Arabidopsis thaliana: one gene and its partner. The protein of the gene in region 2 interacts with the protein of the main gene of each other region in a pairwise test. Each region holds a gene or a part of one and is shown on either strand. Other genes may lie near its edges.

Region 1 (6,435 bases), on a different chromosome or scaffold from region 2:
AATGGTAGAGAGAAAATCAAAATTTTAAAGATTGGCTAATGGGAAGAAACTGTTTTGCTAACTACACATCCTCCTCCTCACTCTCTCCACAACTCCACGTCTTATCACCACGTCTGGGATTAGGCACTCTTTGCTGCTTTATTAGCCTTTTTGTCCACCTTTTCATAACTGCCACATGAAGACCAAACACCTAAAACCTTTGTCCTTCTCTCTCTCTGTTTCCCAACTCCAACAGTGTCTCTTGTCTACATCTCCTCCAGACAAAGATAATCTCTAGCATTTTTCACCATCTCCATAAAAGAATTAGATAGAACACGAAGCAGCTTCGTACTCTTTATCTCTCTCTCTCTCTCTTTTTGTCTTTTCTCTGCATATTTGTTGATACCAGACAACAAAATTAAATATGTGTCTCCTTCGTCATTTGCTACCCATTTGGGTTCTTCTTGGTTTCTTCTTCTTCTCCACTGCTACTAAATCACAAGAATCTTCCGTTGTCTACGTTTCTGGTGCTTCCCCCGAAATCCCCATTTCTCAGGCTTCTCCACGAATGGGAGCTCAATCCCCAGGTACTTATTAGTTTCCCCTTTCCAAATTTTCTCCATGTTGCCCCTAAGAACAAAAATATCAATATTTGGTGATTGGGTCTTACTAGTTCTTGAAATTGTCGAAATGTGTTTGCTCATACTTTCATAAAGGAATTGAATTTAGTTGAATTGATACTGTTTCCCAATTAAAACTGAAAACTTTCCGATAATTAAGCAAATAAATTGAATTTTATCCCTTATTTAAATTTAACTTTGCTCAGGACCTCCCATTGTTAAAGTGGTGCTTCGCCAGGACTTGAACAAGAAGATTCTAATTGCTCTTATAGTCTCATCATCTCTGCTCTGTGTCACAGTCATGTTCCTTGTGTATCTCTTGCTATGGAGGTACAGGAATATGAAGAACAGCTTCACCGGTATCAAACGCAAATCCGGTATTCAATTCTATCTCTTTATATTTTTGTAATTTCCTTGGTTTTGTTATGGCTTATTTTGGTGCTTTGGTTATCTGAAGATTCGGTGAAGAGTGTAACCACGAAACCGACTGTACACAAGATTGATTCTGTGAGGAAAGGAACCATCCCTGTGTATGAATATCAATTGCTGGAATCTGCAACAAACAAGTTTAGTGATAGTAATGTGTTGAGCCGAGGTGGTCGTGGATGCCTTTACAGAGCTTGTCTCGATGAAAAATCCTCAGTCACTGTGAAGAAACTTGATGGCGGTGGGGAGACAGACATTGAAAAACAGTTTGAGGTTTGACCCCTAAGATGATTATACAGAATCGCACCATCTCATTCGATAAACCATAACTCGGTTTTTTGCTTTCTCTTGTTGATTTTCTAATGCAGACTGAAGTAGATTGGTTGGCTAAGATCAGGCATCAGAACATAGTTTCCTTATTGGGGTTTTGCGTATATCGGCAAACGAGTTGTATTGTGTATGAGTTGATGCAGAATGGATCTTTGGAGAGTCAGTTACATGGTAAGGGGATATGATCCATGTTTGTTCCATCTTTTGTCATCTGATTTTGATTTTGTTGTGCTTTTGAATGCTCTAAGGGCCTAGTCAAGGTTCAGGTTTAACTTGGCAGCTCAGGATGAAGATAGCGGTTGATATAGCGAGGTAAAGTCCATTCATTGATAATACTTTCAAACATTTAGTAGTTCCATGTGATCTCCAAGAACATATATTTGTATGCTTACAAAGTATTCTTTTTTCATAAAGAGGATTAGAGTATCTTCACGAGCATTGCCATCCTCCTGTAGTTCACAGAGATTTGAAATCATCTAGCATCCTTCTGGACTCCGATTTCAATGCAAAGGTAAAAGAGAAAATGATATAATGTAGAAAATTCTTCTTAGACTTATTGTATTCTCCATACAATATGAGTCTTAAGGATCTGTTGCCACATTTGCTTCTCTTTAGATATCCGATTTTGGGTTTGCCACGGTTTTGACCACGCAGAATAAAAACCTGATACACAAGGCTTCTGAGGATCTTCTTGATGGTAAGGAGTTAATCTTTTTTCGGGGTTCGATCTTGACATATATGCCAAACGAGATGCTCAAATTTCGACCATTCTGTAATCATCTTTCAGGGAAAGTTACAGACAAGAATGATGTCTACTCATTTGGAGTGATCCTGCTCGAACTTCTCCTCGGGAAGAAATCAGTGGAGAAACCGTCTTCTGAACCAGAATCCATCGTTACTTGGGTACATAATAAAACTTTCACGAGATAGTGGCTTCGTTTAGCAGGAAATCCTCTGACTTGTGATCTTTGTTGATCATCAGGCAGTACCTAAGCTGAGTGATAGAGCTAATCTACCAAACATATTGGATCCTGCAATCAAAGGAACCATGGATTTGAAGCATCTATATCAGGTAAAAAAGCTTCAACAAAATCTCACACAGATTTTACGAAAAACACATTAGCCAAATATAGAAGGAAAAAGATTCCTCTTTGAACTTTGTGTTATATTTTCTTTGGACAGGTAGCTGCGGTGGCGGTGTTGTGTGTACAGCCGGAGCCAAGTTACAGACCACTTATAACCGATGTCTTGCACTCACTCATCCCTCTTCTACCAGTAGAACTCGGTGGATCATTGCGGATTTTATAAAAAAACATTTCCCCTTTCTTTTTTTTTTTCTTGTAACAGATCAATGCGTTTATGAATTTGTCTCTTATGTTGGTTCTTCCGGAGAATTTATTGTTGTATGTTTAATCACTGCTACAAAAAATTCGGAAGTTTTGCTTAAATGGAACCGAGAGACAAGTTAGTAGAGTTTGGTTAGTAAAAGTTAAAGGTTTAAAAGCTTTAACATATAAATAAATAAAAACGTTGACTTTTTATAACAGAGTTTGTTGTTGTGGGGAAATGAATTAATTAATGAACCTTATCCGTTTTGTCGATGATCGATAAAATTTTCAATTTCTCGATTCCCAAAGAAAGATATCTGGGAATTAGACAAGGAGTAGTAATATGAAAGATGGAGGATCAGGAAACGAAGCGGATAACCAAAAAACCGTCAAGATCGATCATCATCAGTCTCAAAGATATTCCTCCTCTCGACCCTTCTTCTATTCCCTCTATGGTAAATATTCATTCACTCCAACCATATTCTCTTCTTTCTCGCTAACAAAAAAATTGATCATCTGGGTTTGAAACAGAGAACAATCTCTGCGTTTTCTATTTGTAGATGATTCTTCTTCTGTGATTTGGCTATATCATGGGTTAATAGTAATAAATATCTCAACTTTGCTTCTGTCAATTGTTAGAAACCAATGGCGCAAGATCATCATAATGTGGGAATGCAGAGATTCCAAGAGAAGACTGACTTCAAGTTTGAAGAAGAAGACAATGCCATTTCTTCCTTCTCTAACATTCAAATTGATCCTAACAGCACAAGAAGCATTTCACTAGAGAAGAAGCTTGCTCCTAAACCAGATGAAGAACACACCACCACCACCAAACCCATATCTAAAGGTTCATTCATTTTTTCTTCACCTCTTTTGCTAATTATGATGTAAACTTGTTCGGAAACCAACAGAGATTGCAATTTTTGGTATAGAAGATAGAATTTTGGTCATTTTGTTCTGAAATTTGTGTTCCAGATGATGAATCTAAGACTAGGAGAGGCTCAGCTAAATCGGTGTTACACGAAATGTGTGCTTCCAAGCGTTGGAGACCTCCTGTTTATGAATGCTGCAATGTTGATGGACCTTGCCATTTGAGATTGTAAGTAAACATCTTCTAACCTGCACTTGCTTTTATTTTTTGAGTCGCAATCTTTTTTGCATCAACTTGGTTTTTTGGTTCAGATTTACATACAAAGTTATGGTTGAGATTAGAGATTCTTCAGGGAAAACTGTTTTGGAGTGTTTTGGGGATCCCAGACGCAAAAAGAAAGCTGCTGCTGAGCATGCAGCAGAAGGAGCGCTTTGGTATCTTGAGCATGTGAAGACAAAGCCGCATCAGTAAATCATCATTTAGTCGATATGAAGTAGCTGGAGAGTTTAGTAAAGCCATCTATAGTTAGTTCTAACGAGGGAAGCTTGAACCATATTATACCTATCTTTTAATTCATTATAGCTCTATGGGTTGTAACAGTTTTGATCTGTATCAGAACTTTTCTTTCAAACTTTGTGCCATTATATTTCTCCTTAGTAAGGAGCCTTTATCTTTATCTTTATGTTTATGGAATAGAAGAGCTCAAGTCATCCAAGTTAGAGAAAGCTTTGGAGACTTTGTCTGGTTAGACTGAAGGAGGGAATTCAGTTCAGTGAGATTTGAAACACTGATTTTTCTCATTTGCAACTAAGATTTGAGCATTCTTTTTTTTTTTGGTTTTGTTGCATTCTCTCTTGCGCGGACAGAGACTAGAAGAAACTTACTCAAGAATTCTAAGTAATTGTAAGATCTTATTACTCTTGTAAAAAAGGAAAAAACAAGAATATCTCAAAAATATAAAAAAAGAAGAAGCCACATCCACTGCTAACAAAAGAAACAATTTTCTTTTTGCAGCATTCTCTAATTATGGAAGTGGTTATTTATTCAATACTCTTGTGGGGTTCTAAAACTAAACTGAGAAACACTTGTTTCTGAAATCACAGGGTATAGTGTTGCTGGATAGCCTCAATGTCTAGTCCCTTCTGCTTCACTACTGATTCCACGTGACCTTTCAAGGTGTGACGTTCCCTTAACCTGAAATTTACAAGACAAGAAATGTTTGTAAGCCCATTTTCTGAGGAACCTAATGGTATGGAATAATCAGTTACTTGAGCGTTGCCTTGCAACTTCAGCTCGTCTCTTGGCTTGATCAGCTATCTCTGAAAGCTCTCTGTAAGTGCTCTTGTCATTGAACATATCTGAGGTTTGAGCTGGCTGCAATCCGTGAAGTGTACGTTGCGCTTGTGCCCATTGTGCTTCTCTCTCTCCCTTTCCGTAGTCTTTCTTTGACGTGAAAGCGGTCTGAACAGAGGAACAAAGGTTAGGAAAAAGGATTATACTACTGTGTTCTTGTTCTCATCAGTATTGGCCTGAGAAGCAAACCTTGTTCTCAATGACATTATCCCATGCTCTTCCACTCAGTGAATATCTGATGATGAACTTGAGGATATCCAATGGGATGTAGAAGACTATACTATAGAGCCAGATAACTCCTGCCCATCCCCACCCAATACCTCTGATTCTTGCAAAATTCCAGTTTGCGTATACCGCAATCAAAGTAGCAATCTTGGAATGAAAACAACAACAGTGTCAGTATATACTGAAGCTTCTTATGTAAGAGTACTGAATCTTTAACTTACCAGCTGAGCCATGAAAAAGGCAGAGATCAACCAGAAGCCAGGACGTTCAACATATGACCAGCTTCGCGACCTTGTTACAAAGATAAGCGCTTGGCTCACGATACTAACTTGTAGGTAAACAGCTGCTGTTAGCTCATGCGGATTTCCACTGATAGATCTCACCCCAAACTTTGCCTGCACCAAGAGAAAACTGAAGATCAACACATACACTTACTCGAGCTGGTCATAAAAGTAAGATAGAACTCTCTTACAGAGAAGAAGTCAGTGCTCTCTGCAGCCCAGAAGAAAACTACAGTCATGACTGCTAGGTAAGTGCCAAGAACAACGCCGGTGGCAAATATCTCTTTGAGTTTCCATGAATCAGGAAGTGGAGAAGGCTTTACTCTGTCCTTTGATATCGTCATGATAGTACCATCATTCAGGATAGCAACGATCAAGACCATGAATGGTGAGAAGTCAAACTTCCATATGAGTGCAAGAAGCATAAATCCCATCACTATACGGATTGTGATTGAAACTGCATAGATTGTGTAGTTCTTCATTCTCTGGAAGATGGCTCTGCTCGTTAGGACAGCACTAACTATGACACTAAGCCCTGGCTCGGTTAGTACAATGTCAGATGCACTTCTTGCTGCATCAGTCGCATCAGCAACAGCTATTCCAATGTCAGCTCTCTTGAGAGCTGGGGCATCGTTCACTCCATCACCAGTCATGCCACAAATATGCTTCATCTCTTGAAGCCTCTTCACAATCTCATACTTGTGTTCTAATCAGACAGATGAAACAGAGTTAAATTTATGGAGTTGAACCACTTGTGAAGGTAGAAGATTTGATTGTTTTTACCAGGGAAGACGCCGGCGAAACCATCTGCCTTCTCTATGAGTTCATCAACAGGAAGGCTAGCTATAGATTCATCCTTATCTTGTCCAAGTAGAGCAGAAGATGGATACATGTTTGTGCCCATCCCAAGCCTACGACCAGTTTCCTTACCAATGGCAAGTTGGTCACCAGTGATCATCTTGACATTAACACCAAGATCAAGGGCACGCCTGATTGTCTCTGCACTGTCATGTCTTGGAGGG
Region 2 (8,553 bases):
ACCTTATAACACCACACCAAGTCTCCAAGTTTCTCTCAGGCATACTATTGAAAACGGTTAATGCATCTTCCACAGAACCACAACCAGAGTACATTTCGATTATCGAGTTGTAAGCGCTGATATCTGAAATCCCAACCGAAGAAGTAATAAACTCATGAACAACTTTGGCTTCTTGTAAAGCTTGTGCATCTCCACAAAGCTGTGCTATCCAAAACAGTCTAGGTAAATCCACAACATAACCCTCATTTCTCCATGATTTAATAATTTCAACAGCTTTTTTAACCTTCCCTTCTCTGCAAATCGAATCCAATTCGTCCAACGAGCTATGACCACTATGATCTTGCTGAAAATGATTCCCACCAGTATTATTCTCTTGTGGAACTCCATTTCCAGTAGTTCCATACGAGGAACAACCATCACTACTTTGCCAATTTTGATTTCTCTGATTAATAATTTCACTATGTTCCCCATAACTCTGATTCCGATTGTATCCGTTTTGATAAAACCTATTCGTCGGATTCTGCCCAGAAACAGGGTTTAAGCTCTGCTCATATGAATTCTGCTGAAACCCACCAAGCGATTGTTCTCCACCGTTAAACCCATTTACATAACCAATGTGATGCGAAGAATTATCCATCGGATTTCCATTAGTAGGGTTTTCAAAACCCAATCTCAGCGCAGCTGTGCTCAGATAAGAAAATAAAGAAGAGTAGCGTAGCTTACAGGTAGAGCCGAGAAGCGAACCTCTCGTCAACGTGTATATCATTGGCCGGGGAGGAGATTGCTGATTGTCGCCGGGGAACAAAACCGGTTAACCGGAAGCAGAATCGATCCGATTAGAAGAGAAGAAGACCAACTTTATAAATCTGCGAAAGAAACTACAAACAGTCAAATGGGTTAATTTGCAGAGAAAGACGAAAAAAACGAATTCAATTTCTTCTCGATTCACAGAGTAAGCCGTATCAAGACGAACCTAAAACTCAGTTCCCTCCTATTCGTCACAAAAGCTAAAGAAGCTTCTTCTTTTTTTTTTTTTCCCAGTGAAACTCAGTCGCGTTTGTTCGGTTAACGAAAACAAAGGTTATCTTAATAACCCGGTATAACTCAGCATTCTAACCGTCTAATTTTGTCGCTGTCTTTAAATTGTGATAGGAAGAAAGAGATTGGCGAATTGGTTTATACTTCCACGTTACCGGTACACTGGTACGGTGGATTTTTACTTCCAACTGTATTATTCAAAAAATTTACAATAATAACAAGTTTTAAAAGTGAATTTAAGTTGAGATTTGCATCTTGTGTAGAATTAGAATGAAATTGCAGGTTCATGACTTGTTTTCTTGTTACTGCCAGTAGTTACCAGAATTGAGTCAGCTTTCGGTTTCAAATTTGATGCTAAGATGTCCTCTTGCAAGCAAGCAACCAAATTTTTTTTTTTAAAAAAAGACATCTCATTGCTCGTAATAACAACATCCTCAGCATTCATAATTTCATCACATAGAGTTTTTACTTCACAAGTTCTTATATCGAAGAGTCAGTTTTCATAACCATTAAAACATAACGCAAATCAATCAATATTGCCAGAGGTTGCATTGCATAAGTAGCAGTAGTAACTAATTGCCAAAGAAAGTCTGGTTGAAGATACGAAACTCGTTTTGATTCTATAAGCAAGCAAACTACTCAAGAAAAACATGTTAAACTTTGAAGAACCACGACACATCTTTCAAAAGGATCCATACCTTTGTGAAAATTAATGGATTCTGCTTCAGAGTTTCATACTGCCATGCAAACAACCTACCTTTGCTGGAGACATCTGAAGAGTGAGCTTGGACAATCTCCGATCACAATGCACATGCGACAAACTAAGTAAGAAAGCAGGCATGTGTTCCCGTTCATCTCGATAATTTTCCATGAAAGTAAGTCATGAGAACAAATCAGAATAACGAATCAACACCGATCACAAACACATTTTCTGGATGAGCATCTATTACATTAACCCCATTCATGCCATTGCACACTTACCTCTCAGTAGGCCACAACACTTATTTCCAGAAAGAATAAGCATCAATAGGCTATGCGTCTGGAAAAAACACCGAAAATAGAACCAATGTAACTGAAACAACGTTGTGTTCTACATCTAAACGTATTAGGCTTAGAGAGCTAGTAATAGTAAAAATATGGTAGCATCTACATCATGCACTTCTAAGAAAGCAACCAGAGGAGACACAACACCACAAAAGATAGCACCGCAACATATATCGAGTGAACGAAAAAGTGTAAAGAAATATTACTCAGAACTTGACATGATGTCAGCAAAATTATCCAACCAGACTGCAAATAAGGAAGCCTGCTCAAACCACAGCATTCAGTCCCTGTGGACAAAGTAGACTCCAGGACACCTGAAAGAAGCCCCTGAAACAAGCCGCAATATCAAGATAGCGACAAAATAAAAATGGCATAGAAGTCAGTTATGTTTTGAGGGAGAACAGGTATGGTATTGCACCACTCAGATGGTCAAGGGAGAAGGTGTAAACCCCAGCATCAGAGTTAGACCTCTAGAAGCAAAAGGTCTGCATGCCCGGATAAGGCAACATTGTTCCTGAAAAATGCAGGGGGAAATCAATATTGTTCAGAGGAATGACTAGGAAACTCACACTAACACATTTCATAGAGCTACAGGAAGGAGCACTCAATAGATGAGACATTCAGACTTCATATTGCACTGAAGTAAAATCCACATAGGAAAATACGATTGACCCATCTTGTTATCAAGTATATCAACACACAAGTGTGGAAAGTTAACACGAAACGAGGAACAGAAAATCGTGCTATAAAATTGATATTACAGATTTAATGAACAGAAGACAGCCCTTCAAAATATGACATCTCAGAGTATCGATACATGAATTTTGCTTTAACATCCTCCAGGAATTACAATAAAGGAATCTAAGGGAAATCTGATAAAGCAATAGAAAAGAACCTCGGAAACTTTCATTCTAATCAGAATTTCCATACATACTTGTATCTGCTGTCTATACACTTATAAAATCCACTGGAAAAAGAACAATATATGACAGTTGATTCCACATTTCAGGAAAGTATATCCAAGACAGGTAGATCAGACTTGACCATAGAAATCAAAAAGAAAAATTTGAATTCTGATTGATACTAACAAAATTGACTGCGGGTACCAGTAGATATCAAATTTCTTACCTCCATCAAATGTTCATCATCTGATATATTAAGAGAAAGACGAAGATCAGTTAATGATGCTTCTTGCTCCCAACTTAGGGGACCAGAAGAAAATAATTCCCCCAGAGTACTGCGGTAAGAATATAGTTCCGACCTACAAGAATTTCTTGCTCCATCACCAACTGATGAATGTTTCCACCTTGGTTCTTCCCCCAGGCCACAAGAAGATTCAGCATCGCTGCTACATGAGTCTGCCTGTTGAGTAGAGCCATCTAGCATACAAGGTGGCATGTTACTCTCATCATAACTAGTAGCACTACAACTACCAACTGAGCATACATCGCTATCAGAACAATCATCAGCACGAACACTCTCACTAAACCCTTTTGATCTTACCCTGACAATTTGACAGTAACCAGTTTTGTGATTGTTTAAGGAAGCTTGCACGTGAGATTTACCACCCCTGTTTTCTGGTCGGCAAGAAATGGCATCTACCTTTTGCTGCTGTCCTTCTTTTTCCAATGAACGCATCTTCTTAGGGTTTCCTGTACATGATTCAGCACATTCAGACCAGTTGTAAGGTGACGGCCTCTTTAACAATCTAGCAGAGACCACGCTAGGCTCGTGGAGAGGCATGCTGTTCCTGTGGGGCTGTAGCTTCTGATGTACGTCTGATCCAGTCAGTGTGGATGACTTCAGAGAACCAGATATCTGAGAAAATGATTACAAGCCAGTTAGTCAACATGTAAGCTCATCAGCACATTAGTTAAAAAATCATTTCAAACAAACAATATCGTAGCAAGACAATGCAGATTGCCACCCCCAACCAGACCCAGAACTTCTTAGAAATGGAAGAGGGGACATCATGACTAAGCCGGAAATCTTAATGGAGAAAAGAAAAGAAAAAAAGACATTAACAAGAGTATATTAGATGTAAAAAGTGAGAGCATAACATATAGGATGAAAATAAATTACCTTTCCAATTGCAACCCATCTCTCATCTTGCCACGACTTTCGGGCCCTGAGGTTAACTTTGTGAAATGTGAGTTCTTCTGGAGTCCCAAGTAAGCGAACCACATAGTAATGTCCAGATAACTCCTCTCGAACTGTGGCAGCTTTCCAGGAAAAATTATCAAGAACTTCCACCAATTCACCAGTATCCCATCTCTCAACATCCACAAGTGGAGGACAAGGCCTAATTATCTTCCTTGGAACTTTCTCCATAACTGCCTCCTCGTGTTCAATTTGGAAAGAGTAAAATCTAACATTGTAGGTATGTCCATTACCCGAGACAATCTCAGCACATCGCCACGCACCATAAGGCGCCTCTTTGTTGCTAAATACCTCAACTCTACTTCCTTTTCTGATTCTCATGATTGTTTACTCAGTCGACTAGAATACCTGCAAAAGAGAAATATCCATATGTGAGCAAACATCCAAAGCAGAAGATCATACATTCTTAATAAAACAAACAACTCTAAAAACATATAGTTTGATGTAATAATCCACAAACTCTGGAACACAGATCATAAGAAAGCCGCAACAAAATTTAGATGAATCAGTAAAATTATGCGTAAACAGAAAGAAGAACCAACGTAATCGCGATCAATCACAGGAGATACAAGCTAAGCAAGATTAATCCAAATTTACTTCCAAACAGATTCTTCAGACAGCAAGAATAATTCGAATTAGGACAAACCAAAAAAACTTCCAAACGATTGAAAAGGGTATCGTAAAATCAATAAACAGCGAAGAATCTCGATCCAATTGAAACAACTTTCATAGAGATCGAAGGATAAAACACCAATATTGAAACAATCAACAAAAAGGGAGAAAAACTGAAACAAGAGATCACCTTCTGGAATGTCTGAATGAGACTTTGAACTCCCGAAGTTTTTGAATTTCTCTCTTAATTTTCCAGAGATCGTGATCGAAAACTTGAAAGAGAAATTGGGGATTAGGGTTTCGGGTAAATGGAATTATGGAAAACAACAAATTGTGCGTTAAGAAATTTATATAATTTGTTTATTTTTATTTTATTTTTAATATTTGGTGACGTGGGATTTAAGTTAATATCTCTTTTAAACCAGAAATAGGAGACAACCCATAACATTAATGACGGTTCGATTGTGTAAATTAATATGTTTCACTCGCTTTGCTTAGAGCGTGGACACGCGCGTTAATTGTGTGTTTTAAGTTTTTTGATACGCTCCTTAATTTAAAAGCTTCAACAAGTCATATATAAATTGATTTATATTTTCATATGCTTCAGCCTTTAATAAGTACTTAAAATCTGATTTGATAAAATCAAGTTACAGGTACTTTCAATATGTATAACACTCAAGTTCTAAATCTGTTAAAAATTTGTGTAGTTAATAAATAGTCAAATTACTAACTAGTATGGTACTATCCTATCTTTAATTTATAATGATACGTTAAGCTGTGTCCTGGGTGGTTTAGTTTGAAGTTTCAACCACCATCGGAGTCTTTATTCTAGACAAATATTATTTATAGTTGATACAAGCCATGTTACAATATATGAGTCTTCATTCTGTTTTTTTTAAGTTGCGTCAATTATAATCAGCTGAGTATATGAACGTTCATTTTGATAGAACTTATTAAGTCATACATTTGTTTGTTTGACGACGGAAGACAAAAGTATTTTATTAGAAAAAGTAAATTGGAAGGGAAAGTGTAAACTGGCTTATCAAGTGGGGTACGTAGAGGGTAACGTGTTAGGAAGAATAATCCGCATTATGAGGTTATCGACGACGTAAACATTCTCTTCTCTCGCTTTTTAAGTTGCTTAAGAATCATTTCAAAGTTACTATTAAAATCTTATTTTGTTATACAATGATAAATGTAAAGAGACGTGAGTAAGAGTACAACACCAAACTCATACCTTAAAGCCATCATATTCTCTTTTTGAGTTCGTTAGATAGAAAAAACAACAAAAGTTTCAAACTTGAAATGGCCCATAAACTTGAAACTTTTTGTAGTTAAAATCCATTGTTATTTTGACTTTTTTTTTTTTTTTTGATTTTAGCCTTTGGATTGGGAATAATACCAACCAAATTCGAACCTAATAAATAGTTTAATAGTTTCAAGATACTATTTGTAGAAATTAAAGTATATATATTTTACGGTTGACCTAGAAAAGTTAGAGTCGTCTATTTTGATCGTAGCGTTGGATTAATCAATCGAACCGGTCAATAAGGTCAAAATCAGAGAACCATGCTTTACCGGTTTACCATGGTCCTTACAAAATCAATGTGCACGTATGTAGGTGCAAAAATAAAAGTAATCATACACTCAGTGAGTTCATGTAAATCTATAGCTAACATTTCTAATTTTTGATCTATAACTACAACTCTTTAGAACTTTGAGTAAGAGTCCTAAACTGCAACTTTCCCCTCCAAATTCATCTCCAATCCAATAATTTCCACCATTCTATAAATCTCATCAGATTTTGGATGAGACTTATCCCCTGAAGAGAAACCTTGCATCGTTAAAGACCCTTCAGTGTCACCAACATCGATCCAACTGAATCCAGCTTCTTTACTTACGTTTTTCTTCCTCATTGCTTTCCTGATCTCTGCAGCTTTATCCCACTCTTCTTTCTCTGCATAGATGTTATACATCTGAACGTAAGAACCTGACAGTTCCGGTTTCATTTCCATTGCAAGCTCAGCCACTTTTGCTCCCATTTTCACATTCCCGTGCAGCCTACAAGACCCGAGCATGCTCTGAAGCATCGACTCTCCTGGTCCTCCAGGAACCTCACTCATAAGCTCTTCTGCTTCTTTCAATCTCCCAGCTCGGCCAAGCATATCAACCATACATGAGTAATGCTCATGAGACGGCTCAAGATTGTAGACTTCGATCATCATGTTGAAAATCTCATAGCCCTTGTCTACCATTCCTTTTCTATTACAAGCTGTTAACACAGAGAGAAAAGTGACTAGGTCTGGTGCTACGTTTTCTTTAATCATCTTGTGGAACAAGTTCATCACGGTTTCAAAATCACCGTGGCTTGAATAGGCTGATATTATCGATGTCCAAACAAATTGGTTCTTTTGAGACATCTCGTTAAAGACTTTCTCAGATTCATCAATGTTCCCACGCTTGGCGTACATATCAAGAAGCGCGCTTGAAACAACAGGACAACTATTCAAACCCAATTTCAGTAAATGAGCATGGCAACGCTGACCTTGCTTTACAGATATATCCTCTGCAAAAGCTATTGCATTCAAGACACTTCCGAAAGTGTATTCATTCGGCATTGTTTCTGCTGCTGCGGATAAGAACATCTTGAGAGCTTCATGAGAGAATCCATTTTGTGCAAATCCAGATATCATAGCATTCCAGGATATAATCTCCCGGAAAGTTATATCCTCAAAAGCCTTCTTGGCATCTTCCAGAGCCTCAAACTTGGCATACAATGTGATGAAACTGTTGCCTACAGATGGTTCTGAAACAAAGCCTGTCTTGATGCATAGCCCATGAATTTTAAGCCCTTCTTTGATTTGCTCATTGCACTTCACGGCATTGATTAATCCAACAAAAGTGACCTCGTTAGGGTAAACTCCATCAAACCGCATATTAAGGAAGATGGACACAGCATCGTCTTTATTCGAGGAAATCATTGTTGTCCAAGAGACAACATTCCGCTCACTCATTTGGTGAAACACTGATTTCACAGCTTCCAAAACCCCACACTTGGAGTACCTTGACATCAAAATATTACCAACTTCTAAAAGTGATTCATAACCTCTTTTTATGCACAAACCATGAATTTGCCTGGCCAGCTTCAAGTCAGTTTCGTGACAACAGGTAGTAATCACGCTAGTAAAAGACACGTGATCAAGCTCCACACCTTCTCGCATCATGTCCCTAAAGATAACCACTGCTTCAAACCCGAAAGTGCCTTCTTGAGAAAGTCCTGACAATAAAGAGTTCCATGAAATCATATCCTTAAACGACATTTCATCAAAAACTCTCCGAGCTCCTCTGAAACTTCCAGACCGCGAATACATTGTAATAAACGAGTTTCCAACGACAAGATCAGACTCCAGTCCGGTTTTCACCACAGTTGACTGCAACTGCAATCCTAAAAGAAATCCTTCAGAGCCCACACAGAAGCTAAGAGCAGTGGAATAAGTGAATGCGTCAAAAACTACTCCAGCAGATTTCATCCTAACAACAAAATTCAGAGCAATTTGATTGTCATCAAACCCAGAGAGTATAGTGTTCCAAGAAACAACATCAGGATCAACCAGATTCTCAAATATGCACAAAGCATTGTCAAAGCGACCGGCTTTACGGTACATACCCATTACTGCGTTTGAAACACAAACAAAGGAA

The links.
Region 1: the proteins of AT4G32440 (region 2) and RTL1 interact in a two-hybrid assay, tested with the Arabidopsis thaliana proteins (one large-scale study listed by BioGRID).

Annotation. Positions count from the first base shown.
Region 1 is NC_003070.9:30,311,576-30,318,010, forward strand, and holds RTL1 (RNAse THREE-like protein 1), read left to right. Parts: upstream 1-2,946; 5' UTR 2,947-3,033; coding exon 3,034-3,138; intron 3,139-3,322; coding exon 3,323-3,530; intron 3,531-3,658; coding exon 3,659-3,782; coding exon of another isoform or gene 3,783-3,786; exon of another isoform or gene 3,787-3,865; coding exon 3,866-4,025; 3' UTR 4,026-4,427; downstream 4,428-6,435. Other genes in the region: AT1G80640 (Protein kinase superfamily protein), read left to right, coding at 404-566, 806-976, 1,057-1,298, 1,394-1,526, 1,604-1,667, 1,770-1,866, 1,971-2,052, 2,143-2,258 and 2 more; HA9 (H[+]-ATPase 9), read right to left, coding at 4,652-4,748, 4,834-5,015, 5,097-5,279, 5,354-5,527, 5,605-6,119, 6,197-6,435.
Region 2 is NC_003075.7:15,653,305-15,661,857, reverse strand, and holds AT4G32440 (Plant Tudor-like RNA-binding protein), read right to left. Parts: upstream 5,174-8,553; 5' UTR 5,045-5,173; intron 4,591-5,044; 5' UTR 4,564-4,590; coding exon 4,165-4,563; intron 3,901-4,164; coding exon 3,211-3,900; coding exon of another isoform or gene 3,166-3,210; exon of another isoform or gene 2,759-3,165; intron 2,597-2,758; coding exon 2,504-2,596; 3' UTR 1,635-2,503; downstream 1-1,634. Other genes in the region: MEF8S (Pentatricopeptide repeat (PPR) superfamily protein), read right to left, coding at 1-766; AT4G32430 (Pentatricopeptide repeat (PPR) superfamily protein), read right to left, coding at 6,585-8,553.